Alligator mississippiensis: one gene and its partners. The protein of the gene in region 3 interacts with the protein of the main gene of each other region in a pairwise test. Links are inferred from orthologs where the notes say so. Each region holds a gene or a part of one and is shown on either strand. Other genes may lie near its edges.

What was found.
Region 1: the proteins of myomegalin (region 3) and BYSL interact in binary tests that used the Homo sapiens proteins (3 or more experiments, as listed by UniProt). The two-hybrid records come from large-scale screens. The link is inferred for Alligator mississippiensis from reciprocal best matches to the Homo sapiens genes PDE4DIP and BYSL.
Region 2: the proteins of myomegalin (region 3) and SDCBP interact in binary tests that used the Homo sapiens proteins (3 or more experiments, as listed by UniProt). The two-hybrid records come from large-scale screens. The link is inferred for Alligator mississippiensis from reciprocal best matches to the Homo sapiens genes PDE4DIP and SDCBP.
Region 4: the proteins of myomegalin (region 3) and SCNM1 interact in binary tests that used the Homo sapiens proteins (3 or more experiments, as listed by UniProt). The two-hybrid records come from large-scale screens. The link is inferred for Alligator mississippiensis from reciprocal best matches to the Homo sapiens genes PDE4DIP and SCNM1.

Annotation. Positions count from the first base shown.
Region 1 is NC_081837.1:38,995,513-39,002,349, reverse strand, and holds the start of BYSL (bystin), read right to left. Parts: upstream 3,005-6,837; 5' UTR 2,731-3,004; coding exon 2,460-2,730; intron 756-2,459; coding exon 590-755; intron 1-589. Other genes in the region: MED20 (mediator of RNA polymerase II transcription subunit 20), read left to right, coding at 3,291-3,304, 4,890-5,044. UniProt on the Homo sapiens protein: Required for processing of 20S pre-rRNA precursor and biogenesis of 40S ribosomal subunits. May be required for trophinin-dependent regulation of cell adhesion during implantation of human embryos.
Region 2 is NC_081826.1:69,523,730-69,531,487, forward strand, and holds the start of SDCBP (syntenin-1), read right to left. Parts: upstream 3,007-7,758; 5' UTR 2,898-3,006; intron 1-2,897. UniProt on the Homo sapiens protein: Multifunctional adapter protein involved in diverse array of functions including trafficking of transmembrane proteins, neuro and immunomodulation, exosome biogenesis, and tumorigenesis.
Region 3 is NC_081828.1:43,503,098-43,510,747, forward strand, and holds the start of myomegalin, read left to right. Parts: upstream 1-4,639; 5' UTR 4,640-4,816; coding exon 4,817-5,959; intron 5,960-7,650. UniProt on the Homo sapiens protein: Functions as an anchor sequestering components of the cAMP-dependent pathway to Golgi and/or centrosomes.
Region 4 is NC_081838.1:20,118,007-20,125,763, forward strand, and holds the start of SCNM1 (sodium channel modifier 1), read right to left. Parts: upstream 3,002-7,757; 5' UTR 2,879-3,001; coding exon 2,828-2,878; intron 2,157-2,827; coding exon 2,086-2,156; intron 1,545-2,085; coding exon 1,456-1,544; intron 721-1,455; coding exon 623-720; intron 542-622; coding exon 441-541; intron 35-440; coding exon 1-34. Other genes in the region: LYSMD1 (lysM and putative peptidoglycan-binding domain-containing protein 1), read left to right, coding at 3,561-3,743, 4,752-5,053, 5,899-6,058. UniProt on the Homo sapiens protein: As a component of the minor spliceosome, involved in the splicing of U12-type introns in pre-mRNAs. Plays a role in the regulation of primary cilia length and Hedgehog signaling.

The DNA of each region.
Region 1 (6,837 bases), on a different chromosome or scaffold from region 3:
CACAAACAGAGGCTACACATCTCACAACAAGCTGACCACCCCTGCTCTAGTGCACTGAGCCCCAGACTAGGTTTCAGGAGACGCCAGTTCTAGTCTAAGATCTGCCACAGGGCTACTGTGGACCATGGACAAGTCAGTTCCTGAATCTGTACTTGTTTCCCCCTCTATGCTTTACATGTCTTAACTTTTCAGACTGCCAGATCTTGGGGCTGGGACTGCCTACTGCCCAATAACAACTGGGCCCTGATCTCAGGTACTGCACACAGTATTTAGGAACAGGGAGTTTGTGCCACACATGCATCAGTTCTCGAAAATGGAGTACTATCTGCTGCTTGGCACCCAGAAAGGGGCCATCAGGACTCCTGGGCTCTGTTCCTAGCCCTCCCTCAGACTTCCTTTATGAGCTTGAACAAGACAATTCTCCATGCCTCAGTTTCCCCAACGACAGGTGGGGAACAGCACTTTAGGCAGCCACCCCCATCCATGCGCTTCCATGAAATGTTAACCCTATTCCAGTGCCGCATGGTGGCAGAAGATACTGCCCGCTGCTCAGAAGTGCCACACTGCAGCTCAGAGGCTCATCTTCTACCTTAGCGGTGGATTCGTGTTCATGAACATCTCGATGGCTCTCTCATCCTCAGGGTTCACTGTCACCTCTTCACAATACTCCTCCTTCTCCATGGATGTGGCTTTCTCCAGTGTGGGCCACTCGTCATCGTCCTCTGCATCGGAATCCCCATCGCGAGATGCAGATCCTAAACCAAACAAGGCACGGTTAGGCTTGGACAAATTGGAAAACTAAGCACCTCTGTGCTGTACCAGTTAGCTCTCCATACCATAGTCTCTCATCACCTCTTCTATAGTGATGAGTAGTTTGAGAGGTCAATGTGAAGAAGTCCAATAGCCCAAGCGGATGGGCACCAGAGACTGCCAGGCCTTGGCTGAAGACACAGTGAGGACTGCCACCCACATTTGATTAAACAGAGCACATCTGAACCGCAACATCATTATTGAGAGAGACCCTGCCAATCTGAAGTTCTAATGATTTGAGTTATAAGCAGCTCCCAGTCCTACCTCTGCACCCGCGTTCCCCCTGCTTTTCTTGTAGCTTTGCAATAGCACTGCCCTATTTTTAAACACTTTTTTTACCCCCCAAACCTTGTTTGAGGATGGATGCCCACAGACACAGGGAAAGCTGCCTCAGGGGCTGAGCTTACAGGTCCATGCATTCACACACACCTTTGACATCACACATGAGAGCAGTCCCATCAACTTTAATATACAAGATATAATATTTCTCTTTGGTCTTTCAGTTAGCTTAGATGTTCCAGGTAACAGCAAATAAAAGGTTTTCAGATTTCCCATGTCCGAGGATTACTTTAGGTTGACAGGTGCTGCTCTGAGCAGGGGCCTGGATTAGATGACCTCCTGAGGTCCCTTTCAACTTTAATGTTCTATGATTCTATACTTTTTAATGGCCACATATACATGAAGCAAGTTCCCAAGGTAGAATCTAAATAATTTCTTTCCAGTGCTCTTTGTCAGTATTTGCAGTGAACGTGGTTTGTCCCACAGCTACAGCATCCTGGCCTAGCAACGGCCCTAGTCCAAAACATCACTAGTATGACAGAAAGACATCCATTCAGCTCAATCTGCTAGGTTTGACCGCACAGCAATACCATCTACAGTGACAAAAACAGGCTGACGTGCTAGCTAAGCAGTAGCATGTATGCAGGCTGCTACAGAGCTTGGCTAGAAGGGAGTCTGACGTAGGGAACGATCTCTATTGTAGCAGGAGTACTGAGGGGTGTCCGGTCCATGTCTGACCTTCCCTACTCCCTGTTTATGTTATTAAAATGGAACATAAAACCACAGCTCACCCCTTTTGTCTTTAAGGAGCATACTTGATCAATCAATCCCAGTGGGAATTCATCCCATCCCTGCCCTAGGTCAGCTGCTGTTTATCAATAGACAGGAACAACCTACGGTGATTTAGGGCAGGGAGAATTTCACGTTCAAGGACCCAGGGAATAAAGCCAGGGACTGGACATCAAGAAGCAGGGATTCAGTCCTGACTTTCTTGCAGGACTTCTCTACTTCTGCAGTGTGCTGCTCGGAAGACAAGACCCACAGGGGGCTGAGACCTGCGTTTGTGGGAAGACTAAAATGTCTTTCCTGCCAGAGCAGAGCGGGCTGGACCCGATGATCCCACGAGGTCCCTTCCAGCCCTAAACGTCTCTGGAAGGTGATCAGACACTATAGGGAGAGAGCATGGATCAAAAGGGATGAGAAGGCAGGTGTGGGACAGCGCGGGGTGGTGTAGGGTTTGCCCTCCTCTCCCCTGGAAGGCAGAACCGTGCCCCTGCCAGCGCCACGACCTGCCCTCGGGGCTCAGGGTGGGGGGGATCGAAGGGGATCGGGTTGACATCTCTTCTCAGCTACTCCCCCGCCCCGCTCACCCAACACCGTGGTCTTCCTCGGCGGCTCGGCTCCCCGGCCCGGGCAGTGCTCGGCCTCCAGCTCCTCCTGCTGGATCCGCGCCTGCTCCAGGATCTTTCGCGACAGCTTCTCATCCACATACTCGTCCTCCGCCTCCGCGGCCGCGCCGCGCTTCTTCGTCCTCCGGCTGGGCCGCACCGCCTGGCCCTGCAGGATCTGCTCGGCCAGAGGCAGGCTCCGCACCGCCTCCCCCGGCCCCGCGCTCCCCTTGGCCCGCTTGGCCTTCGGCATGGCGATCCGCGCACACGTGGGCGGAGGGGAGCAACGCGGCGCGCAGGCGCGGATGGAACGTTGCGACTCTCAACGTTCCGACCATTGCGACAGGCGTGTCCGAACGTTCGCTCTTAAAGGCGCCGCCGCCCAATTTTTACTTTCTTTTCTTTTTTCATTCTTTTTTTTTTTTTTTTTTTACAAGGGGCAGACGGGGCTGATGTGTGTAGGCCAGAGCTGGGACGGGTGTGAGCTACTGAACCGCGTGTGAAGGGCAGCTGCTCGTCTGTCCGCTGCCCACGTGCCCCCGGATCAGCGGCGGAGGAACCCGCGCTTGCCCGCATCAGCAGCGGGTTGCCCCTGTCTCCTGCCCCCCCTCCATCCCCTCCCAGCGTCGTAGCTCGGCCTCCCCACCCACTTCTGGCCGCCTGACATCATTTCCTACTCGGCTTCCCACCCCTTCCAGCGGGAGAGGACGGGGCTGGGCTAGAAACTCCGCTTCCTGCTCGGGAGAGGCGGTCCCCGCGCCTGCAAAGAGGATCCCGAGTAGGCAGGGGCTGGCCGGGAGCGCTGGGCCCAGCATGGGGGTCACCTGGTAGGGCCCCGGATGTGTGCGGGCTGGGGGGAGGCTTGCAGGGAGCAAAGGGGCGAGGGCAGGTGAGATCCCCCCATGGGGGGAGGGGTGCAGGCTGAGCTGCCCCTCAATGCACAGGGGTCTGAAGATCCAGGCCCCACTCAGCACCCGCCTGCGGTACCACCACCGGGAGCAGGCGGTGAGGAGTGGGATGAGGCCCCTGGTGAGCAAGGGGCTGGGAGGTAGACAGGGTTGAGAGGAACTGACAAGAGATCAGGCTGGATCAAGCCAGGTCAGCGTCGCAGCTGCAAATACAGGGCTGTGATGGCACCAGGCGTCAGGGGCACGGAGGTGCCGCTGTATCAGAACAGAGACGCAGGGTCCCCTTGGCAAAAAGGCAAAATGGCCTTGGGGACAAAGTCGTGCTCTGGGTGTCTGCTGTTGTCACCGGAACAGGGCAGACGCCGGGTGCGAAGCAGTCCTGCCTGGCCGAGGCTTCTTCCTTGCGATGCTCGTCCTATGTTTATAGGGGCGGCAGGAATGGCATCGGGCTGTCGCTGTGGCACTTTGTGCAGGGCAAATAACCATTGTCTGTAGGGCTTTCTGGGTTGTGGAGAACAGCAGGGTTGACATGGAGTGGACTGAAAATGCCAGACGTGGGGCTTTTGGGTGTGCCTGCCTGCTCTTGGAAGCGAGGGTTTCTTCTGTGGACCTGTCTCTAACCTGAGACAGGACGTCTTTGTAAAAGACCCGCTATCTAGCTCAGGGCTTTGTACTCACGGAGCAGTCCATCCTCCATTTCTCTCGCAAGCTAGCAGTGCAGGTTTATCATCAAACGTTTCACTGGAAGCATGAGAAAAGTATGTGGGACCTAGCAGTGTGTGTGGCCCACCGGCAGACCCCATGCCAAGGCCTCACAGCCCCTAGTTTGGGAACTGCTGCTGTCGTTCAGCAAGGTAGAAGTTACCGGGTAAGGTTCTGTGACCTGTGTTGCATAAAAAGCCAGATTACATGATCACAGCGGTCCTTTTACAGCCTTTAGAGGTGTTTGTTACATTTGCTAGTCGTGTTTAGTACTGTAATGCTTCAGGCACAAACATGAACAAGGCACTGAGTAGCATCGTCCTTGCCCTGAGAAGCCGAGAGCAGCAGTTCTCATTCTTTTTAGACTCAAGGCATCCCTGGATAAATTAGAGGTGCCCGTTAGAAAGTGCCGCCTCTTAGTTTTCATTTCTTGAACATGGGAAAATAATAGAGCAGTTTTTCCAATGTAAAGCACTCAGAAAGCCCTCAGCCATGGAAGTCTGTTTGAAATCTTTGGGTTTGTATAACCAACTGTGCTAACATTATGTGGAAGGATCTCAGGGTACCCCAGGGTACCCTGGCACCCTGGTTGAGAATCACTAGTGTGAGCGGATAAGATAGATGAAAGTAATGCTGACAGTACCGTCCAAATGCTTTACAAAGCAAATGGTCATCACGTGTCGGCTTTTAATCTCTGTTCTAGATGCAAAACGCTGTTGTCTGGCTGTATTGCATTCTGCCTTGGTTAAGGTGTCTCGGTATCTATGGTTATTGACTCTTTTCTGTAACTCCTCTTCGATAGTGTATCTCAGATGCCAGTGGCAGAGGGGAAGAGTGTCCAACAGACGGTTGAAATCCTGACAAGGAAACTGGAGCTGCTCGGAGCAGAGAAACAAGGAACGTTTTGTGTCGACTGTGAGACCTACCACACAGCTGCCTCCACCATGGGCAACCAAGGTCAGCCTGTCGTTTCGCTATCTGAGTGAAATGCTTTGCAGAGAACCTTATATTGGCTGCAGTAGCTGGTAGCTCTGGTTGGGTTGAACTCTGCTCTCGTAATGAGTTAAATTATTGTCCTCTTATTGTTCTAGCTGGGAGTGCTAAAGCCAGCTCTGAGGCCTCTTCTTTCTCCTGTTTATACCTTTCTTCTCTCCAGTCGTCTCCCCAGCATGGTGCTACTGAACTGGATTGAACTAGCGGTAGGAAGGAAGAGCTGGTCAGACAAGCCCGGTCTATGCTGTATAATCTTGCTAGCGGGATTCAGTTCTACCTCCTGTAAGCATGCCCCCACTCAAAGCTGCTATGTGGAATCAAAATCTTTTTCTTTTGCCGGCAGAGTGAATTCATCTCTTGGGCAGACAGAAGGCTGCTATTTAACAGCTAACAAAGGCTTATATGGACAGGTCTGTACCACCTTCTGGCTGCTGTGGTCCCATTAGCATAGGGCTGAGCAAAATTGTGGATCCAGCTGGTGGCTGGACTCCATTACCCAGCAGCAGTGGCATCCTGACAGCGCGGGGCCAGGGTTTCCATGGAGACTGGCCCCAGCAGCGCTGGCAGAGCACATGGCTGGGCAGGGAGCTATTCCGGGGCTGGGATCTTTCAGCAGTGACAGCGTGGTCCAGAGCCAGGGCAGAGCCGCGATCTGCTGCCTGCACGCCCCTGCCCAGGGCATAAGGGCAGCAGGTCATAGTTTTGTCCCAGCCCTGGACCACGCTGTCGCTGGCTCAAGATCCTGGCCCCGGAGCAGCTCCCTACCCAGCCCCGCTCTCTGCCAGCGCTGCTGGGGCCAGTTTCCGTGGAAACCCTGGCCCCATGCTGTCACAGTCCTGCCCTGCCGGGGTCTCCATGGAAACTGGCTGCAGTGATGCAGGCAGGGGCTGCTGGGAAATGAAGTCTGCCGCAGGCTTGATCCACCAGACTTTGCCTGCCCCAGCTTTAGCAGCTATGTCCCCACAATGTGGGCCATTCTGATAGGGCTGATGGCATGGAGCTCTGCTTTCACTCTTGTGGCTGTTGACTCCTGGTAAAACTTTTGCCCTCCAGGTAGGAGAGAGACCTGAGGTCTGTTCTCTGACCTGGGTGTGATTCTGGGTGAGGTATGGTTAATCTTTGTGCCTCTGTGGTTTTTTCCCCCACTTCTAAAATGAAATAGCAATCCTGACCCACCTCATATGGGGTTGGAGGATTCAATTCCAGGTTGGAAACACTTTAGGAGCCTTAGAAGACAGGTGATTGTAAATGCATGGTATTGTTCACTTCTCTACAGAGTTGTTATTGCAGAGCTAGGGTGCCTCACACCTTCCAGAATGCATCTGTACTTAAACCTGGGAAAACCAGGAAATGCAGAGCTAAGGACATGTCTGCCGTGCCTCACAGCCTGTCTCTTCTGGCTGGCAAGACCTCCTGGGGTATACTGCAATTATGCTTCAGGCACAGCTGCTCTACAATAAGCAGATGCAGGGAATGTGTAAATGTGCCACATTATACTCTCCCGTTTATCTGCATGCATCACCCTTGCTCTCCCTTGGGCCAGGGACAGCTGTATTTGCTGCCACAGGGATGGCTTACAGCTGCATTGAGATCATAGACTTTTCCTTCTTGTGCTGAGAATCACGGAGGTGTGAAGTGACCTCATTCATCAAAACAAGTTCTTAAATAACTGGAGTTGAATACAACCTGGGCCGAGGTGTGAATTGATCCATTCATCACTGTTCTCCTTCTCCCTTCCACTGTCTGCCCCAGGGCTT
Region 2 (7,758 bases), on a different chromosome or scaffold from region 3:
GGAGTCTCACTTAACCATGCATCGCCCCAAGGGATCATATGGAAAGTACAGTGAATGTACTCTACCTTCTCCTGGAACTGGATGGCAACAGGCCAGGCAACCAAAATTTTTCCAAGCCCCATGTATCTGAACCCCCACTGAAGTCAACAGGGGGCTCTACATAAGAGTAATATACAATTTTAGGGGCAAATTTATTGGTAGTTCTTTAAAAGAAAGCAATTTTTAAATGAAATTAGGATTAGGGATAGCAATAAAGCCTGTTGTTCCATATGCTATTTTCAGCCTTGGAATGATTCCCTCTCCTCCTCGCCTCTCCCTCATCAGGTGGGGAGGGGTAAAAGTGTAAAAATCAGTTTCATTTGGACTGTCTATTCCAAATAAATCTTCCTGCTACTTATAAAACGTATGCTCGTTTTAAACAGATTTGCAAATCAGTTGTCTGCGATAGAAACATGCATCCACCTTCAACAATATATAAATCTAAACTAATTAAGACAGTGGTTGTCAACTAGGGGTAATCATACCCATAGAGGTACTTAAAAAGGTCATAGGGGATATGCAGAACCAATGTGGCTGATAAATGACACATGCGTGTAGCTGCAGCACAGCACGCAGGTGACCAGGAGCATATCCAGGTCAGGCTGGTAAGTCTGTTGCGAGGGAAGGGGGGGAAGGGGTACTGAAAACTGATTTTAATAAGGAATTTCGTTGCATCTTAGGTAGTAATAGGTATTCCAATAACCTGACATCTCCAATAATGTAAAGAAGAGTTATATAAAGGGTGCAATTTTTAATAGTAAACCACAGAGACAAAAGTTAGCCTAGATAAAAATTATATTATTCTAGGAAAGGGATCCTTCCCTGCCATATGGGTCAAGTTTGTAGAAGGTCATCTTAGTCTATTATTTATATGCTTATTTATTTTGCATAAAATAGGTAATACAAACTAAAACAAAAGTAAACATTAACAGGAGTTGAGGAACAGGACCAGGTAGGAGAAAAATGGTAATAATCACCAGCACCCTTAGAAAGCTCCTCGTTCATATAGATTACTCGATCCTTAATTCTGATAACCTTTGTCTGGAGACTGACTGCTAGAGAAGTTTTTTCTTGTTCCTTTTCCTTTTCTATGATCTACTTGGGGAAAAATTTACCTGGAGGAACAGAAGTAGGACACTGACAGCTAATCACATGTACACTTCCATTTCCACTGGCTCAACTACTACTATCAAAAATGATATTTTACCTAAAAGATTAATTACTAGTTCAAACTTCAATGCAAAGAAACCCAGAGTTAGGCTAGAAAAATGAGACTTCCAAGAACTAGCAAATTCACAAGCCTCCCCTGTTCTGTCAAAGAGATATGTATTAAAGATATGAAGCCTGAATGTTTGAATTGTCACTTTGCCTACAAATCCTCAGTGACAAAGTATCTTTAGAACTTCAGCTTCCTGCTAGATGACAAGCCTTCTTTTTGGGCAAAACCTTGCAATAGATGAGCAGGTTGACTGACTTCCAACTGACCTGCCCCGACCTATCTGCAGCTGAAGCCAAAATTTCCACTGGTATAGAAGACAAGAAGAAAATCCCTCAGAAGGGAGGAACCACTGATACCACAGTGCCTGGCCCACCATTTTCACGCTAGGGCATTCATGGGTGAGGAGCCATCAGCAACTGCATCTTCATCCACAACCCACTCAAGTTGTTGCTCTCCTCTCAAACACTGGGCACCCTCCTCCTCTCCCCTCTTGTCTTCTATATTCTGATTTCTCTCTCTTCCCACTCTACTTCCTGCGCATTCTTTCACAGCATCTGATGAAGTGAACTTGGGTTCAGGAAAGCTTGTGCTCTCTCTCATATTTTTTCTATACATGCACATACACATATCTACACACGTCTGTGTAGATATGTGCACGCATGTGTGTACACGTTTATACACACAGCAATCAGGGCTCGTGGTAGAGGTGATATCTTGTACTAGACCAAGATTTTTGCAAAAAAAATTGTCTTTAATTGCAAGCTTTCAGGCACAAACACCCTTCATCACCAGGCTTCGGACAGAGGATTATAAAAGTTTCTCCGATGCCTGATGAAGGGTGTTTGTGCCCAAAAGCTTGCAATTAAAGACAATTTTTTTTTGCACAAATCTTGTTGGTCTAATAAAAGATATTATCACCTCCGCCACCAGCTTGTTTTTTCCTTTAGACCCGATTGCTTTTTCCTCTAAACCAAACCAGCTATGGCTTGGATACCTATCTACCTACACACACGCACACTTATATGTATATATCTATACAAATACAAGTACATACCCACAAAATAAACCTTGCGATTACAGAGATTTATCTTGTGTGTACATACACATATAAATACAAGGGGGGGGGGAATGTGTGTGCGTGTACACACGCGCACACAACGTTACGCCGCTAGCGTAGGAGGCTGCGGCCCCCGCCCGACCCGGGACACAGCCGGGAGCGGAGCAGGGCTCTTGGTTGAGGAGCGGCCGCGCTGATCTCGGGCCTCCTGCCGGGCCGGGCTGGGGGCGCCGCCGCCGCCCAAGCAGCCCGTGACGCACCGCTCCACGGCACAGAGCTGCGGCCCGCGGGCGGGACGAGGGCAACAAAAAGCCGGATCCCAGAGAGCCAGCCAGACCACCCCCCTCCCCTCCGCCACGCAGCTCCGACACCGCAGCCTCCCCCGGCCCAGCAGGGAGGGGTTGAGGCGGAGGCAGCGGCCGGGGCCGCCAAGACTAGACGCGGCACCCCTGCCCGCCCCGCCCCGCCCCGCCCCCCGGCGGCCGCGGGGGAGCCGTTCTCAGGGCAAGGGGGGAGCCGCTCCCCCCCCTCGCCCGGGGGCAGAGGTCCGGGCGGGGCGGGGCGGCGCGCGCCGCTACTCACCGTCCGGGCGGCCCGGGGCGAACTGCTGCAGCAGCGACGTCAGCTGGGCCTGGCTCCGTCGCTATGAGGCTACCAGCTGCGGCTCAACGGCTGGCCCCGCCCACGGCGCCGCGCGCATGCGCTGTCCGCCGCCCCGTGACGCAGTGGGGAGTCTCGTACGCTGGGGGAAGCCCGCGGGGGGGCCCGGGGGAAGGGGTGTTGTCCCCTCCCGCCTTGTCCAGGGCCCCGCGCCTGTCGCGCAGCCTGGCGGGTCGGTGTCCGATGTGCCGCCCCGTCGTCTTCTGCTGGTGGCTCCTCTGCCCCCTGCCCTGTTTCCTCGCACCCGTCTCGCAGGCCGGCCTCGCCTTGCTAGGGCTGCTGCGCTGCCGGGAAAGGCGGAGGAAATCAGTCCCCTGCTTCTGCCTCAGGGTCTCCCGCGCCTACAGCCGAGCCGCGCAGACCTGCCCCTGGGACACCCCCGGGGGTAGACCCAGCGCCGCCCCCGTGTCCCGTGTGGATGGGGCCAGGCTGGTCTCGGTGCTGGCAGACGACAGGACAAGGTCTCCGGTTGCATCCAGGGAGCTCTACGTTGGATATTAGGAAACAGTTTTTTCCTAGCAGGGCGGAGAAGCGCTGGAGCAGGCTCCTAGAGAGGTGGTGGGCTCCTCATCCTTGGAGGTTTTTAAACCCAGGATGGATAAAGCTTTGGCTGGGATGATCTAGCTGGGGACGGTCCTGTTCTGAGCAGGGGGTTGGACTAGGCCTCCTGAGGTCCCTTCCAACCCGGATTTTATACCATCTGTTTTGGAGACAGTACCATAGCCAGGACGTTTGGTGCCCAGGGCAAGCCCGCAGCAGCAGCCTGCCCTCACCCACCACGCAGATCCGGGGGCGCCACCCCCCATGCTTGTCCAGGAGTGCATGCAGCTGCAGGAGCTGCCCTCCCCCATCCCTGTGCCCCCCCAAATGAGCCGCTCACGGCTCCATCCTGTGCCCCGCCCTTCACTTTGGCACCCAGAACAGTTGCTCCACTCAAACCACCCGCCTTGCTATGGTACTGTTTGGCAAGGATGCTCCCCGGAGATCTCAGTGCAGCCTGCCCTCTTTGGGTATTTACACATGTGCAAGGTGGCTACTCTGATATGCCGTAAATGCAGGGCGTGGCAGCAAACTCGATTAATCTGCTGGAGTGCAGAAATTAACATGCTCCAGCAGCCTTCAGGATTGCTAGGGTTTGAATTACACTCTGACTCTTGGGGGGGTCTGCGGTGGTTGCAGCCAGAAACCAGAAGGAGTCGCCGCCGGAGCTGCTTAAAAAGAAGCAGGGTGGGCCGGGACCTCCCAGAACATGTCTATAAATGCCCTTTGTTTCTAGACACATGAATGAGACTTGAAACACATGTTGTTTTGATCACTGTTGCTCTTCGATACTGCACTACCCACTGCTTTTTGAAGTGTTGTGTTGCCTTTCCTAATTAAGATTTGTCATAGAGCAGTAGCGCTGGAAGGAACCTCCAGAAGTCATCTAGTGCTAGTGCTGAGGCAGGACCATCCCTATGCAAACCCATACTCCAACCTCTTAGAAAAACTACGGTTGACCCTGAGACAATGCAAGACATAACAAGCTCACCTGCCACATGCAAAGCAGGGGGACCACAGTGGCCAAAACCCTGCTTGTGGAAAAGGTTAATATACACTCAAGAGGTCCCTGGTAGAGGGCCACACCCCCCTTCAGAGGAAGGCAACCCACCCACCCAGTCATCACCAGTCTGATCGTGGAATCAAATTCCTTCTTGACCCCAAATATGGCCATTGGTCTGACCCTGAGCAGAGGGGCAAGACCGTCTATCCAGGACCCTGTAAGTCCAGCAGGAGCACTGGCATACCCCAGTCAAAATCCCTAGCCTTGGCTATAACCAACTCTGTGCCAATAAGGGAAAACCAATCCAATCTCTCTAAGGGAGGCTTCCTACATGTAAGGAACTCTGACATGTAACAGGTTATTGATACAAGTGATGTAACCAAAAACCAAACACTGCTGAGCCTCTCTAGAAACAGTCATTCAAACGTGTTTTCCCCATTGCAAGTGCATACATGCATTTTGAGATATCAGACAATTTTGAATCTAGTTATTGGTGTTCTGTATTTGGATCTTTTTTTTTTTTTTTTTTTAATGTGCAGGGTGGGGGATGGCACTTTCATTAGAGTGGCTTTGAGAGCCGCACAAATTAAGGTGCTGCAATGTCTCCTGTATCAGCATCCCCACTTTTAAAAAGTGGCAGGGCCACTGTAGCTAAAGCTCATTCGATGAGCTATAGTTCAAGTGCTCCCACCACCATTTTTAAGTGTGGGGATGCTGATACATGAGTTGCAAGAGACCACTAGAGCATAGCAATTGCCAAGCATTGAGTCCGCTCTAATGCGCAGTGCATCCGATGCATTGGAGCAGCCTCCGTGCTTGTGTATAGGCACCCCAAGTGTTAGGCCATAACAATGTAAGTGACTTAGAGTCTACAGATTTTCATTACTGTAACTGCAGCTCCTATAGGTAACCCAAGCTAATATTAAGTTTAGCTAGTTAATGAACAACTAGCAGTATAATCCATGAAAGCATGATACACTGTGCAAGCTAGCTTCTCAGGTGAGTTTTGTAGTCAGTGTGTCATGCTGTCCTAGCTATTACCTAAGCTATCTATTATAAAGCTAACTTTGTCAGTAATTCTCAACAAGGGTACCCCGAGGTGTCCCCAGATCTTTTGAAGGGTGCCATGAGGTGTGGGGAGATAAGCAGATAAGCACAGGTTCAGATTTGTCCCTACCTGGCCAGTCCTCCACCACTACTGCCCAGTCCCTCTGCAAGGAAGGAAATACTGCACTATATAAATTAGCTTTTAAAATGGAAATACCATATGGAGGGGTGTTTTGAGTCCAGTGAGGGGTGCCTTCTCTTCAAAAAGGTTGAGAACCACTACTTTATGTATAACTGGAGTGCAGTTAGAAGTGAATGCACTTGACATACTCTTGAGCATATTACATCAATGCTATTACCGTCATCAGTTAAACTTGCAATCTCATCAGAACAGAATATCCGATGAATTTTACAGGATCCATTTCCCATAAATTCAGGTTGACTGGCAGCCATTGTATTATCCTCCCTTAATTATTTATGAATTGCATTCCATACTAACAGTGCCATTATTTTGTCTGGATCAAAGCCAGGCTGACAAGTTTATAATGGCTTGTCCCATTTAATCCTTTAAAAAATGTTGGCACAACATTAGCTTTATAGAAAGGGCTTCATTTGCTATTTTTGCTGCTGTCATGCAATCACGAGTAGAGTTTGAATATTCCCCAGCCCATCTGAGTCCACTTATGTGGACCAAAAGTTCCCCAGTGAGGCTTTTCTGGGCTGGTTTTGATTGTCCGCTCTTGAGTCCTCTGTCTCTGGCAGACACTAAGATAAGTCTGGAACAGCACTGGGGGACAAACCTTCTGAGCATTGTGTGCGGGCTGGGAGCAGTCCGAGGCTTTCAGGGGCGCGCGGCGGACTGTGGCCAGCAGCCCTGGCACGTGGGTTGGGGAATTCGGCACGGCGGACTAGAATTAGGCACGGATGTGTAGCGGTTGATTAAAGATTATTTTACTTACACTGTAGATGGTCGCGGTGCAGGCAGGAAAAACTTCGCTTAAGTTGCAGTTACAAATGAAAAGAAAACTCGCTCGAACAAGACCCGTAGAAAACTTGAGCCTCTTAAACCCGGAAAGAGCTCTGGATACACACACACGAAGTTTGCTAGGCTCCGTGGACCAAAAGCGCACAGGGAAGGGTACGTCGAGGGATTAGGCGGCGACAGGGAGAGGCTAGAGGTTGATCAGGCCCCTGTATTCTCCTCTAAGGCACACGCGGGGTTTGTTAAGCTCCACAGCACTTAGAGTTCTCCACGAGATGGATGTGGAGTCCTCCTAAATGAGGTCCTCCCTGGAGATCTCCAACTTAGGCGGAAACCGCTCAAGCCTCTTATACGGCTAGCAAGCCAATTGCTAGCCGCCATGTGGGAATAATTTAGAAACAGCCAATAGTGGGACACAAATTTGCATGCGAATGGCGGGAACTCCTTTGCACCAGGGTTTTCTCTATGCAACTGAGAATTGCACCATGCAAAGAAAGCTCCTCGTGGCAGGAAATAATTCTGCAGTGCCGAAGCACACACAAAATCATACCCTTGGGTCATGACACATAGTAGCACATCAGTGGATTGGAGTGGGGCAAGCTCACCCCTGCCTTTCTTGGGGCTCCCTGCTGATGTGGTGTAGATAATTTATATATATTTATAGATGGTTTAGAATTTCCTTATTTCTACTGAACTTTAAGGAAAGCACTTGTTAATTTTATTTATCATTTTCAGAATCATTAATATTGTCATCTGAAGACTTATTTAATAGGACAGCTGCCCACTTCATGGCTCTCTTGGTGAGCTTGGTGTGTAAGCATAATTAGTTGCTTAACAGAAGGGAAGTAAAAGAGTAAAAAACTTTGGGAATGGGAGAGAAAGGGACATGCTGCTGAGTATGGAGGGAAAGGGAGGGGGAATAATTCTTGATTTGGGAACTTTAAAAAGTCTCTAGCTGCTGCTCTCATGGCATGGTCCAAAAGGGGGACGGGTATAACCTCACCACTGCACTGATCTGCCCCTGGATTCACACTAGCATGAGTCCATCATTGGTCAGTGAATTGTAGAGCTGTGACCTAAATTAATGTGGGAGACAAAAGGAGTACGTATAATAACCACACAAGACAGAGAAAGGGAGAGGTAGTGTACTGATTGCAATAATACCACTTAATTACTCAGAGCAAACATAGACATTATCAATTTTGTGCAAC
Region 3 (7,650 bases):
CAGGGATTCTACCTTTTATTAAACCAATATTTGACACCAAACTCAGAGTGGAAGCCTGCCAGCCACTTTGAATGCATGCACTGTGGCTGTCAGGCTGCAGGCTCTGTGCTCCGATGGACGATTGTGTTTCTGGAAAGGATTTGACAGCAGTGCCTTTACATCTCTGGACAAATGAGCAAACACCGGGCTCTAATACGAGGAATAAACAACCCTCCCCTACCAGGGCCCCTGAGGCTCATGGAGTGCAAAGTATCCCTGCAGATGTCAAACTACCAGGAAGAGCAGCTGCTTAATAAAATGCTGATGGCAAGAAAGTGGAGACTGCTCGCTGTCCAAAAATGAATGGCAACACACCCCTTCACTGGGCTCCTGAGCATGGCCAAGGCAGGAGCCCCACCTGTTCTTCCTGAATCAGCTCTTGCCGTGGAATCCTGGTGCCCCCTGTTGGTCCAACAGCCCATTCACCACAAGCAAAGGAGCTTGGTCAGGATGCCAGCACAGGCTGCCTTTAGCAGAGAGAAGCAGAGCTGTTTTGTGCCACACAGGTGATTCTTACCTCTTCACAGCAAGATTGCTCTGTATTAATCCTCTGGCATGTCTTTTTCCTAGCCTGACCATGCAGGTGGCTGGAGTTACAGGCAATGATGCACACTACAGAAAGTCTCATGATAGCAGCAGTTCTCTTGTCACAAGGGCCAGACTACAGGTGACATGTGAGTTCCACCCGGTTCATGGCCTGATACAATCACATTGGTTAAATCCTTGATTTCCTCAGTGGTGAGCTCTGGCTACACTGATAAATCTTGCTGAAGTCAGTAGACTTGCACCTCTCCTTGGTGTTTTAGGGTTGTTAGTTGTTCACTTCATAAATCTACTGGATACAAAAAATCATGGACTAAATATAGGCAGACAAGGTTCTTTGGGTAAATCTGATGTCTTTTATTAGACCAACTCAGATAAAATAATCTAAGAAAAATAAATAATATAATAAATCTAATTTGTAAAAAAATAATTTGCATTTGAGGCCAAATTAGCCAAAACTAATTCCACATCCAAGAATCCGGAACCATAAACGGCCCTACTACCAGCAAACATTCTCCACCCATACCTGGGGCCTCAGATGTTTCCAGATCCTTTGGTGGGTGTCCTACTTGCAGGTCCAAGCCCGGAGGCTTGGGGTTCAGATGCTGCCGAGTTTTGCTTGCCCTTAGCCATAAGCCCCTCGGAGTAAGCAAGGGATGAGTCTCCCATTTCCATAAACTGGGCTTAAAGCCACTACATCTCAGTGGGTACTGAACCACGCCAGAAGAGCAGTTGCCCTGTGGGGTGGTTCAGGAAAACTGCCTTCTTGGACACAGATGCATGGTATTTCACCTGCCAGGTTAAGAAGCCACTGCACTTATCCTGAGCCCTCAAGAGGCCTGCACTTGATCTGAGCCTTTAGTACTCTAAAAAAAATCTAATAAAAATAGTCTAATAAAAGATACTAGATTTACCCAAAGAACCTTGTCTGCCTATGTCCTTAAACCAACGTGGCTACAACCTATATACCCTTGGACTAAATATAGACATTGGATTTATGGCACGTTATAACTTGGCTAACATTTGATAACCCCAGGTAACCTGTCTTCATTTTACCAGCTACATTCTATCACCAGTTCAACATTCCCCCTTTCCTCCCTGCCCCAAGCTGTCTCCTACCTATTGTCTCCCATTCCCTCTGATCCTCACTGCCACGCATTTGCATTTTCACAGACCTGCATTTTGCATTTTGGCTTCTCTTCTGTAGGCTGTTCCTGTACCATAGAGAGACCTGTAGGCTCTCTCTATGCCTGAAGAAGGGTGTTTGTGCCCAAAAGCTTGCAAAGAACAATTTTTCCAACTACCTAGTTAGCCAAATAAAAGATATCACATTTACCCAAAGAACCTTGTATCCTAGGTGTTACATTTGAAGGATTTTCCCTGTAAGCAAATGAGCCAAAATGTTTTCCTTCCTGAAGGACGCTGGAGCACAGTGATGTGCCTGCAGTACTCCAGCAAGACACAAACCCAACAGCTTCCAAACAGCTGGACAGTTCTGCCTTCTAGAAACAGGAAACGACAAAGCCCTGTAATTGCAGGCCCTCTTCCCGGCTGCAGTGAAGAATAATGCCACCCTCCCCCCCCCCCCCCCCCCCGGCCTGTCATTGCAGAATGAGTGTCTAGGCTCTGAAGCAGAGAAGCTATAATTTGGGCAGCTGGCTGGCTTCCAAATCTATAGCTTTTAAGCTTTCTGAACGACATAGTACAGGACGGTCTCCAGGGGGGCTTCCATCTGCTCCAACCCATTATCCCACTTCCTGGGGAACGGTAGCCAATTGAAACAGTTCTGCCTGCTCAGCAGGTATAGCAGGCTTCTCTTCCACCCTTCCCCCCACCCTCCTGCTCTCTGCACACAAAGGGTTGGAAGATTTCAACCCTTTCTCAGATTTCTTTCTCTTCCCGGTCTGCATGTCTGAGGTTTTAGATGGTTTCCGGGTTGTTGCTCTGCTGTTCATTTTTTGTCATCTAGTTTGTAATAAATTGTTTCACAAAAAAACCCCAGACTTCAGTGCTTCTCAGAGCCACCTTCTTCCCCCACCCTCTTAAAATTATCCACTCCCATGAGACCTACAAAATACTTGGTGGTGGCTCTGCACCTGGCATGCTGTGATTGCTGTGTTTCTTGTGCCTGCCTGCCTGTTTGCTGTATCCACCAGATTTTGGAAGCTCCATAGAGCAGGCACCATTTCTGTTACATTGGTACAGCACATTGCTGGGCAGTTAATGGACAGTTAACATTAACTGGTCTCTGGCAGTATGTATCATCAGAAGGACTAGAGTTTGTATGGACTGTGGTTATTGAACAAGCCCTTTCTCTTTTGGATAGGGGCGGTTTCTCCAGAATTAGGGTACATTAGTGAAGGATGATTTGATGGATGCTTATGTTGCAGAGGTAAGGGAGGGACGACTTATTTCTCTGGGGTAAAACAGGCTTATTTCACCACCAGTGGCAATTTCACTAAAAAGCTGAGTTTTGACCTGCCTACCTGGATGATGATTTCTGCATTAAACTTTTCTGTACCTGTTAGGTAGAAAATGAATCCTGATGCTGTGAGTCTTAGTTTGTGGCTGGTGACACAAGAAGCTGGTTGGTAAAAGGCACCATTTGGGTGCCAGGAGGCACTGAGTAGACTGGCTACCACTGGGCTTTACATAGCAATAGGTAGAACTGGTACAGCTTTGTGGGCAAGTGGCAGTGAGAAGATTGATTGGTACATGGAGTGGGTGAAGCTCAATATCGCATGGCATTGGATGGCATGCGTCAACGGGTTGCTGTGAGGTGGGGCCAGGAGCAGGTGGACCCTCAGTGGCAGGAGGCTCTGTGCAGGTAGAGCATTATGTGGCTCCGGGCGGTGTTCAGTGCTGAGTAGCGTGAGGAGCCCTTTGGCAAGCATGGCTGGGTGACTGAGAGAAGTCAGGGTACATTTGCACCTAACAGACTAACAAAGTCAGTGATGCATCGCCTTTTGTAAGTAGTGGCTGACTTCATCAGATGTTGGGAAGGGACTGCAGGAAGCAGAGCTTCCAACTAGAAAGCAGCTGTTGGCATACAAAGGGGAGGGGAGAGGAAACCCAATAGGAGGGGGCACTGCTGGCAGAGGCAAGCTGATGCATCTCTGATGTAGTAGTCTACAAGGTGCATCTCTACCTTGCCTTTTGCCTGACTTCAGATTAACACGGCTAGTTACCTCCCTCTGCTCATGGGTGATTGGGCCAGTGTGTGGGTGCTTAATGTTAGAACGGGTGGGGCGGCACTCGCCATCTCAGAGGCCTGAGTGCTTGTTGTTGTCAGGGGCCTGGCATCAGCAGGAGGCAGGGAGAGAGGCGCAGTGCCCCTGTCCTGGAAGAGCAGGCACCTCTGGCGGGAGGCAGCATAGGGCCCAGTATCAAATACACCAGGGTGGCACTGGGAGCAGGTAGCGAGCGCAGGGGCTTGTGCACGGGGCTGGGGGTGCAGGGCACATCCCTGGCTGTGGCTGGCACTGCCTGGGTACACAGAGAGTAACCCTGGATCACGATCCTGGCTCCCTAAGGGCCCTCCACAGGCCCCGGCCCCTGGAGGTGCGGGACGAGCAAAGCTGCCTCCACCCCTGGGGCTGTGCCAGCTGCCAGCATCAGCTACTCCCTTGCCAGCAGTGCAGCTCCTTCTGCGCATGCGGAGGAGGCGCGGAGGCCAGGGCAAAAACTGCTGCTCCCAGAATGCCGCTGGGAGGACGCATGCGCCGTGCAGCCGGCGACGCCATCTTGCAATCTGAGCCGCAATCGGGCAGCCTCAGTGGCAGCGGTAGCGGCTGCGGCAGCAGCGCTCTCCTCCTCCTCCTCCTCCTCCTCCGCGCCTGGGTCGGGGCGGCGGCGCCCGGGCCGCGTCTCCCCGCGGGGCTCGGCCGGGGCGGCAGCCTCCTGCTCTGAGCCGGGCGGGGGCAGATCGGGGGTCCCCGGGGCGGGGCCCGGGTGGTTTGGGGGCGGGGCCAAAGGGGTGGGGGCGGGGCTAGGGGGGCTGGCAAGAGGGGGTGTCTGGCCAGGCGGGGCATGGGGGAGCCCGTGTAGCCGTGGCCCAGGGGGGTGCATGGGGCTGGGGTGGCTGCGCATTGCCTGAGCCAGGGGAGCCCCTGGGGTCAGGCCTGGGGGATCCCCACTCCCAGGCCTTGCGGAGGCGCTGAGGGAGCAGTCGGGGCTGGAGAGCGTCTGCGCGCAGGTCTGGGCTGCAGCCGGGGGCCAGGCGCCGGCGAGGAGGATGCGGGACGCCTGCCGCATCTGCGCCCGGGAGCTGTGCGGCAATCAGAGGCGCTGGATCTTCCACCCGGCCTCCAAGCTCAACCTGCAGGTGCTGCTGTCCCACGTGCTGGGCAAGGAGCTGTGCCGCGATGGCAAGGCCGAGTTCGCCTGCAGCAAGTGCGCCTTCATGCTGGACCGCGTCTACCGCTTCGACACGGTCATCGCCCGCATCGAGGCGCTCTCCATCGAGCGCCTGCAGAAACTGCTGCTGGAGAAGGACCGCCTAAAGTTCTGCATTGCCAGCCTGTACCGGAGGAACAACGGCGAAGAGCTGAGCCCTGATGACAAAGTGGGGGATGGCACTGTGGACCTCTCGAGCCTGCCCGATGTCCGATACGCGGCCCTTCTGCAGGAGGACTTTGTCTATTCCGGGTTCGAGTGCTGGACGGAGCACGAGGAGCAGGCCTCAGAGTCACACAGCTGCCACGCTTCGGAGAGCGGGGCTAGCCGGCCCAGGCGATGCCGGGGCTGTGCTGCTCTGCGCGTTGCGGATTCTGACTACGAAGCCATTTGTAAAATCCCGCGAAAGGTGGCCAGGAGCATCTCTTGTGGGCCTTCTAGCAGGTGGTCTGCAAGCGTGTGCAATGAAGAGCCACCCATAGGCGAGCTTGGAGCCACTGAATCACCCAATGCCAAAGTACCTGCGGATGGAGACAGCATGGAGGAAGGGACTCCCGGGTCCTCCATTGAATCCTTGGACACCACTGTGGAGGTCGGCTCTTTGCAGCAGAAGGAGGAGGAAATGGACAAAGGTGGAAAAGGCAGTGGGAAGTGCGACTGTTGCTCCGATGATCGCACCACTCTAAACTCTTCATTAAATAGTAATAGGTTGGAGCTAGCTCTTAGCCTGATCAAAACCTGTGACTACAAGCCTGTTCAGAGTCCCAAAGGCAGTAGGTTACCTGTTCTAGTGAAATCCAAGCCCAGCCACGACACGATGGATGGAAGTCCTCATGCTGGTTTGGTGACGACTGGTTCTGGATTCCTGAACGCAGATGTGAAGTCCTTTTCCCGACCTCCTCTGGGCTTTCCCTTGGAGATGTCAGACCTGCAGGAGTTGTGGGAAGATCTCTGTGAGGAATATATGCCACTTCAGGTTCAGGTACAGGTTGATGAACAACACTGCAATTTAACAGAGGTCCTGCCATCTTGGCTGAGAGTCCAATCTGGATTCAGGTGTGCTGGGATAATACAGATAGCCAGTCCTATCTGAGCAAAAGGCTAGGAATGGGTAGCTAGGCCCTCCAACCGCTCTCCTTATACACACCTCGTCCCTGTTCTCTGACATTTCCATGGTATTCTTTTCCTGGTGTGTTTGAGAAATGAGCCCTCCATAGGTTTCTAGCATCTTGCCTCTTAAGTTTCCCTGAATCAAGGATACCAGCAAGGTTTGGCTGATATTTCCCCTTTTGTTTCTTGTTTCCAGCCAAGCAAACACCAGTTTAATTTCTCCTCATTACTTTCTAGGGAGTAAGTTTTGAATCTGTTAGTTTAAAGGGTGTAGTTTAAGCTGCCAAATGCTTCTTTAATAGCAGTTCAGTTTTTATTTGGCCTTTGTAAGTTATAAAGTTATAATTTGTAACTGATCTGTTCTGGAGTGGTAGGAACTGCTTTTTTTGCAGGCAGAGCTCCAAAATCGAATGCTCTTTGTCTCTCCCCAGTTTTCCCGATTTGCTCAGCCCTCAGGAATACCGTTATGCTGTTGGCAGTGAGGGTGTTGTCTTTGCAGATAGATTTGCTCCATTGGGTGACTTAAAGCTAGCATTCTTGGTAACTGATCCTTTAAAAAAGATTTAACAATCAGTAGCAGTCACTGCTGAGAGCCTGTGAGCTTTTGCAGGAATTTCAAACATTTTAACCATCTGCATAGATTCCAGGTAACATTTACCTCTGGATTTTGACTGCTTTTTTGCCTGGCTTTAAAATTCTTGCTAATATATGATCACAGGCCTGCACCTGTATTTCTTTTTTCACTTCTCTTACCACCCATTAAAGTCTTATGTCAGCTTTAATTCAGCAATATTTATGTCAGTCTAATTGTCTTGGCATTAGCAGGTTTAGTGCTGTCTAATTTTCCAGGTAGCCTCAGGGATTAGAAAGATACTTGTTTACTACAGAAGCAACTGTAGCTCTATTGGGTGATTGTTCTCCTTATGCAGTGAGTTGTGCTCATTCTTTTCCAAGCTCTGGCATTTTCCAGGGGTGTGTACTTTTTCCACAACAGCTTTTAGCATGAAAACGTGCTACGGAGGAAGCCAGACTGACGGAAGCTGACAAATTCCAAAGCATAGTCTGATGATCCATTTGTCACCGGTAATTGAAGATTTGCTGACACTACCTAGGGAACCTTAAAAAGTGAAGGGAAAATGCCATCATCTCTGTGTACCTTGTTGCCTGTTTTTTACCATTACAGACTGATATACCAAAATAGGGTCTTTCTTAACGCACAGGTTTTCCACCATTAGTTCGTATGGTGATTACATGACATTTCAGTTGTATCACGCATCTTAGCATCTTCATTGCGTCTCAGAATTACTTACAAAGGGTTTCTTCAAACCCCAGCCTCTGTCATGTGTTTGTCTTTCTGGTGAATCTTACGCTGAGTTTTTCATTTCCTGTTTCTTACCATGGCAACAAACCCAACACAGAATGATGTCTTCAGTGCTAAATCTGGCATAAATCGAAAGCACTCATTCCACTTTAACAGAAGGATTGGAGAGTCAGAGTTGCCAGTAAATAGGTCTCATATAAATCCCAGGCCTTGGCCTCACCTCTGTCCTTATTGCGTAATGA
Region 4 (7,757 bases), on a different chromosome or scaffold from region 3:
CCCCGGCTGTGCTCCCACACGGCCTCCATCGCACCTGGAACAGGAGGAGACAAGGCCTTGTTCAGCAGTATCTCATGGCCACGACTCCTCCTATGGGGACCCCACTGCCAAAAGAACCCAGGAGTCCCAACACCTGGCCTTCTGCCCTACTCTGTGACCCTTGGATCTCACTCCCTTCTCCCAGGTGACATCTTAATGCAAAGCAGGCCAGGGGGAGACAGCAGCCTCCCTGCGCTGTTTCTCTCATGTGTGACCTTTAGCTGGTATAAGTCAGCAGAGCACACCTGAAGACTGGGCCCCTAGAGCAGGCGGTGTAACAGCACCCTTACTAGGAGGTAATGGGATAGCTGGTGGTGCTTCCCAGAAGCAGCTGCCTTGTCCAGGCTGGGAGCAGGTCTCCCCGCAGCCTCCCGCCCATGGCACATATCCCCCAGCCCTACCTGTTCCTCCGGCAGCAGCTGCTGTAGGGAGTGGCTTTCAGCAGGGCGCTCTGGGTGATGGCGCGAGTCTGAGTCAGCAGGGGTGCAGGGCATGGGAGGACCTGCAGAGAACACAGACAGGGTGAGGGTGGGGCTGGGGTCACTGGTGGGGGGGGGGAGGCAGGGCCACGTGTGGGGCTTACCTGTGTGCCCGTCTCCTCTGCCCGCAGGAATTCCTGCTGCTGCCACTTCTGTAACTCATTCTCCCGTGAGTGCTTCCTCCCGTAGAAGGTCTGCAGGCCTAGAGACAGGGGGAGGCAGGGGCCTGGGTGAGCAGAGCCCAGCTCAACCCAGCTGGAGGCTCACGGTGGGGGCACAGACCAGGGCCAGCATGGGGGGGTCTCGAGCTGAAGCAATTGGACAAGGCAGTTCTGACATGCTGGGCTCTCTGGATGGCACATGGCAGTCTGCATGAGGGCTGGCCCTGATGAAATGCCTGTGGGAGCCCTGGGGCTGTGGAGGTGCTAGGAGGGCTCTGCTGTCAGAGGCAGAGAACAGCAGGGCAGGCAGCCAGGAGCGGTTTAATCCAGAGGTGCCAAACATATGGCCTGTGGGTCAGACCCAGGCTGTGGAGCTGGGTCATCTGGCCTGTGGGGCTCCCAGAAGGGCTGGGGATTCAGGGGTGCAGACCACGGCTGTGATATGAGGCTGGAGCAGTGGATAAGCTGCATCAGTGTGGTTCTCAGAGGAGCCCCTGATTTGGCCCATGGGCCAAGAGAGTTTGAAACCCTTGGTCTAATCCAGCCCCTGCCCCCAGCAGGACCTGACCTTACCCCAACCCCGATGGCTACTGCCCGACCTGCCAACGCCCAGGAAATCTGGCCTGGCGTTCTGCTATCTCGACCGGGTCAGCGGAACCAGTGGAGCCTAGCGGGTTTATAAGGGATTTGGTAATGAAATAGGCTGGGGCTGCTGCCCTGGCAGGGCCCTCCTGGCCCGGTGCCCCCAGGCTCAGTGCCCCCAAGCATTGCCTTACTGGCAACGTGCTTCTTGCCGGCGCGATGCACAGTCAGCATGTCCAGTGTGTCGAAGACAGGGCGGTGGAAGCACACGGTGCATGCGTACCTGTGGGGGAGACAGGGTCAGAGTGGGCAGGAGACATGGGTCCATGTGGGGAGACATGCCAGGCTCCTTTCTGGGGCATTCATACCCATAACCACGGCCAGCTCCCCAATGCAGCACAGCCCATGGGACTCGCTCCGTCCCACCCTTGTCTTTACCTGGGAGGAAAAGGCAGGGGCTCAGCGACCGCAGAGGGAAGAGAACTTGGTGTCCTAACCCCTCACTACAGGACTGACGGATCAGGCTCCCTCCCGCACAGTCTCGTTACCCTCAATTAAAAGCTGGGGGAAACTGAGACTGCAGAGAGAAGTGCCTCTCCCGGAGCAAGCCCAGAAGCACTGACTTCGTGGCCTCCTGGGATAAACCAAGACTTCCTGGGACTTTCCGAGAGGGGCCTGGGGTCTAACGAGGCTGAGACCTACCCTAATTGTGCAGCCCGACCCAGACAAGCAGCCGAACAGCAGCACAGGCTGGCGGCCTGGCCCCAGTGGGGCTGTGGCTGGGTTCCTCTGCCGGCCCTGGGGCTGCTCCGGCCCTGACCCACCTGCCAGTCCTCAGCAGCAGCGCCTCGTCCTCCGGGATGTAGTTGGCCAGCAGGTCGGACACTCTCCTTTTCTGCAAGAAACCCCTAATGAGGAGGGGGCCTGACAGGCCTGAATGAAGCTAAGGCCCAATGCGCTGGACCGCTCCTCTCTCGAGCACAGAAGTGACTGGTGTCACGGGAGCGACGGTCTGGGCCCAGGGGATGCTGCAGCACAGGGCAGGGAGGCAGCTGGACACGGGGAGGAGGCAACAACCGTGGACAAGACCCCTGTGACCACCGTGTTCCCGGCCCCGGCTCCCAGACCTGGGCGCAGTCCAGGCAGTCTCTGGAGGGGCAATGACAGCCCAAGGCCCAGGGGGCTCTGTGACGCGGCGGTGGGTCCCCCTCACCTCTGCCATCGGCCTCACGAGCCCCCCATCCCAAGGGAGCAAAGACCCCCGGGAGGGAGGAGCAACGAACTGCCCCCAGCCCCACAGACCCTGGGGGGGCAGGGTGTGCTGGGGGGGGAGGGGCAGGCCTAGGTGGGGGGGCCTGGGGGGGTGAATGAGCAGGGTCTTTGGGGTGGGGCTCGGGGGGGGGTCCCTCAGCAGCATGGAGGGGTGGAAAGGAACTGGTGGTGTCCCATGGCAGGGCTAGGGGAGGGGCTGGGGGGGTCCGTTGGGCGGCGGGGATGGGAGAGGGGAGTGCGGGGGTCTTTGGGCAGGGGTGGGGAGGGGCCGGGGTCACCCCAGGCCCCGCCCACCTGCAGCACACGGAGCTGGCTGACATCGTCGCCCTCGCGCTTGAAAGCCATGTCGCCCCGGCCGCGACTCCGCTCCGCGCTGCTGAACCCGCGCAGCCACCGTAGACCGGGCAGACCGGCCCTCTTCCGCTTCGGCCCCCACTTCCGGGCCGGCGCCTCCCGGCCTGCCTCGCGGCGGGGACTGCAGCTCCCGGCCTGCCTCGCGCTCGCCCGCGCCAACCTGGGACCCGCAGGCGGCGCCCGAGTCACGCCGGGAAATGGAGTCCTAGCGCCCTCACCCCGCCCCTCTGGGGGCGGCCATTTTGTGAGGGGGAGGAGGACTACGTGTCCCAGAGGGCTTTGCGTGTGTGGCTCTGCTCTCCGCTCTTCTGCTCTGCGAGGCTGCGAGCGTTGCGCTCTCTGGGGCAGGGGTGGGGGGCATTAGGTAGCGGGCGTTGAGGCAGGGGTGTGGGCACTAGAAAGGGGACAGGGGTGGGGGCATTAGGTAGGGGACACTAGAAAGGGGGTATTGAGGCAGGGGTGGGGGCACTAGAAAGGGGGCAGAGGGGCATGGGGTAGGGGTGGGGGCACTAGAAAGGGGGCAGGGGGGCATGGGGCAGGGGTGGGGGCACTAGAGGGGCTGGGAGCATTGCTCCCCCTGGCAGGGGCCCTGGCATGAGCTGCCCTGCGCGAGGCAGGTGCAGGCCGGGGCTGTGACCCCCTTTGGCACCTGCCCCCCGGGTCCTGCCCCAGCATGGCCTCCCCACCGGCCAGGCCGGGGTCCCCCGGGGCGGCGGGGCTGCTTCACGGTGGCCGGGCGCGCTCCTACGGCAGCCTGGTCACGTCGGCGGCGTCCCCGGTGCGGGAGCGGCGGCTGGAGCATCGCCTGGCGCCGGGGGACACGCTGCCGGGGCTGGCGCTGCGCTACGGGGTCACGGTGAGGCCCCGGGGAGCCTCCTGGGTTGGGTTCCTGGTGCTGGGAGGGCAGCGGGGCCGAGGGGTTAGTGCCAGGGCCCGGAGCCGGGACTCCTGGGTGTTGTCGCCGGGATGTCTTGGGCCCTGCTGGGGATCAGGTCTCCTTGCGTCTTTGCTGCTCCGTGAACTGCGTCCCTGTGACCTGGAGCAGGGCTCGTCCCTGCTCTGTGCCTCAGTTTCCCTATAGCAAAGGTGCCTCGTCGACCTCGCTCTGCGTGTGGGGGGAGCGCATGTATATGGGGTGGCTCGTTCCTACACACGAATGCAGGAGATGCTCTTCCTGATGCATCCCCTGGTCCTGATTGTGTGGACACACATGTGTTGTCAACCCACACGTGCGCATGTTCCCGCACGCCTACACACTTGTGTTCACACACTCTCCCTCTGTATCTCCTCTCCTTTCCCCTTTGGCACTTTCTGTGCGTGCCGGTCCTCACACGGCTCTCACAAGGGATCACTTTCCCTTCCCATCTGACTCAGCTGGCTTGGGGTGGAGGTCTGGGCAGGCCGTGGGCATGTGACTCTGTTTACTCATGGGATCTGAAATAGCCCTGGGCCAGCCCCAGGCCCTCCAGCTTGGGCAGCTCTGGCAGGGTCCTGCCCCACATGTGCTGCCCCCTGCTGGACTGCTCCTGCCACTGCCCCTGGGTTTCTGGGGTGCTTTGTATCCCAGTCTCTGTGCCAGCCTGGTTTGGGGCTCCAGCAGGGGAGTGGAAACCTCGCCCCCAGCCCGACTGGGACCACTGACAACAGTGCTGCCATCTGCATGCAGCTGGTCATGGTCCAAGTTTCGCGCTCTCAGTGAACTCCCACATCCTTCCCCCTGCCCTCTCCTTCTGCTGGATCCCACAGGGCTGGCTGGGTTCATGGGTGTGCTCAGCCCCAGAAGTGGTTGCATTTTGGCAGCAGGGTGTAGTGGGATGGGGCAGGCGCCTGATGGGAGCTTAACCCTGCATGTGCTTCTTCGCAGATAGAGCAAATCAAGCGCGCCAACCGGCTCTACACCAACGACTCCATCTTCCTCAAGCGGACACTGTACATCCCGGTCCAGGTGCGGGCAAAAGGCTTGATCCTGCAGGAGGGGGAAGGAGCCAGGCAGCCCCCTGAGGGTGAGGAGCAGCCGGAGTCACAGCCCCGGGATGGGGATGGAGCCAGGGCTGGTTCTGGCCTCCGCCACGATTTATCAGCCATGGATTTCCTGCGCCAGCTGGACTCGCAGATCAGCCTGTCCAAGGAGGCCGCAGCCAAGAAGCTGCGGGAAGGGAAGATCGCGTGAGTGCCGCTCTCGCGTTGCTGTCTCAGCTGGGGATCGAACCTACCACCTGCTGGCTAGGCTTTAAGAGACTCTTTCTTTGCCTCCTGCACGGGGTGGGGGTTCCTGGACCGCTCCATGGGGCAGGAGGAATTAAAGCCACCTCAGAGAAGTACCCAGGAGGGCATTTCCCCTGGTGCCTGAGTATACGGGACTCCCACTCCCCTCCAGGGGGCTCTAGTTCTAGGGCTAGCCCAGCCCAAGCCACACAGAGGGTGTGGGGCAGAGATGGGAAGTGTGGGGTGATGATATTTATTGATAACATCAGAAACTAAAAATGAGGGGGCGGGGCCTGCACCCCAGGGGGCTGGGGTTGCACCTTGCTCTTGCCCTCGAGGGGTATCTGTGTGGGGCAGAGCAGAAACACGACATCCCCTCCCTTTTTCTTGTGTGACATGCGGTGAGACGCCCCAGCTGAGACTGCAGCGGTCCCCATTCTGCCCCCCCATTGCCTAGGAGATCCTGTTGTGTTGCTATGGCCGCATGGTTTTCCAGGGAGACTTGCAGTGGGGGGATGTAGCTATCTATGGGGTCTGGGGGCACTAATAGGGGATCGTAGCAGGCAGGGACATTGGGACCCAGGCAGAGGTTTGTAGTGCATCAGAGAGCCTTGCCCTTCCTGATCAAGGCAGCTGGTTGAACCTCAGCCATGCTTTCTGGGGCAGGGAGGTTCTCTCCCAACTGGCAGCATGGGGCAGTGGTTGGAGCTGGCGGGGGTGCAAGAAGAGAGATGTGGGCGTGGGGGGCAGAGAAGAGCCAACAGAAGGCATGGGGAGCTCTGACTGCCTCTCCTCCCCCCCTCCAGCATGTCCGGGGCCGAGGCGGGAGCTGGTAGGACGGTCCCTGGGCGGAACGAGCCCTCGCCCCGCACCCAGCAGCGCTCTCTGCTGGGCCCAGTGCCGCTCACCAAGACGCTGCGGGCTACTGTGCTGCGGGATGAGGAGGATGAGATCTTCAAGCTCTGACTTCCCCGGATCCTTGTGGCTTTGGACTACTGGGCCATGGCACTGGTGGCGCCTGCAGCCTTCGGAGGAGCTGGTTGGAGGGCCAAACCCTCCCCCCCACCTTCATCCTGATGCACGGGTCTTGGTGAGCGTGACACACATGTGAAGGGCTTTCACAATGCTGCTTTGTTCCCACGTGGCCTTTCCTGCCCTGTCTCAGCCCTGTGGGCAGATTCTACCCGCCAGACCCCCTGCCCTATCCCTGCTGGGGCTCCCTATGTTCTCGCCCCACCTGCCCCACTCTCCCCTCACCAGGCAAGAGGGGGCAGTGCCAAGTTCCACACTGCCCTCCAGCCCCCTCACCTGCTGGGTCTCAGCTGAGGAGACCTGATGCCCGGTCCCCTGTCAGCACCCCCTGCTGATGTCCCCCAGCCCTGGTCCCCAGCCTCCCGGCCCCTGGTCTCTACCAGGCACTAGGCCAGTGGGAGCTGGACCAGTGCCCGTTGCCGGCCCACTCTGGCCCTCCACAGCAGGTCTGTTGACACCCATCTCCCTCCCCACTCATGAGCTGCCTGGCATTAGGAGAAAGGGCCAGGGCCTGAACTTGAACTTCTTCATCACTTTCCACCAGTTTGCTGTCAGAGGGTCCCTTACTGGATTCTGCTGACTGGCACCAGGACCAAGGGCAGGGAGACCCCAATCTGACCTGCTAAGGGTCACGGATGAAGGTTTCTTGGTCAGGGGGGTACGTGATCACCACAGCAGGCAGCAGTGTCAGGAGGGGAGTAGGGTGCATAGAACATATCTCTTGGGCTCCTTCAGGGGTGAGACACACCCCCCCCTCCCCCGTCTCCTTCACCTTCACGCTGGGGTTGGGGACCCTCCTCAGTGAACAGGGGCCCAGCCGAGCTCTGGTGCCCGTGCTTGTAACCAGCCCCTCTTGCCATGTACTCATCCCTGGATCTCTAATAAAACCTGGAGGAAATAACTAGGGTTTCCTTCCCTTTTATTTTCATAGCGACCTCCTAGTAGTGCCCTGGGGACCCTTTGGGCCCTGCCTGCACTGGTAGGGTCCTGAACCATGCCCGATCCCAGGCACTGTGTCTCCGGCAGGATCCAGCCCGCTGCTTCCATGCAGCTCCTGGGTTAGTACAGATGGGCTTAGAGAGCGGCAGTGAAGGGCACAGCTCAGCAAGGCCTGAGGGTGCAGATACATCCCTATGTGCTCAGAGGCTGAGCCAGCAGGGGCTGCCGCTCAGCTTGGATGGGCATCTGCAACGCTGGGGAGTTTTTTTGGCTGAGGGACTCCTGATCACTAGGGATCCTGGTTTTCTGTGATTAAAAAAACTCCCCAATTTTCAGTTAAAAATAGTAACCCCAAGTCCACATTTTTCTGTGATTAAAATGAAACTCCATTAATATATAGATATAGATATATATAGTGGTGTTTCATTTTAATCATGGAAAAAGTGTGGATTTTGGATTACTTTTTTATATCTGAAAAATAAGGATTTTTTTTTTTTTTTTATCAGAGAAAATCAGGCTCCCTGCTGATCACTGTCTCTCAGCCCTCTGGCAGCCATGGGTGGGAGGGTGGGGTATGCGCCCTGTCTGGCCAGCAGGGGGCAGTGTGTGCATGTTCATGCCCCAGCGAGGGGGGCGTGGAGTTGGTCTGGTGGTGCCCTGGGGCCTGGAGTTGCCTGCGTGCCTGCCCCCCATC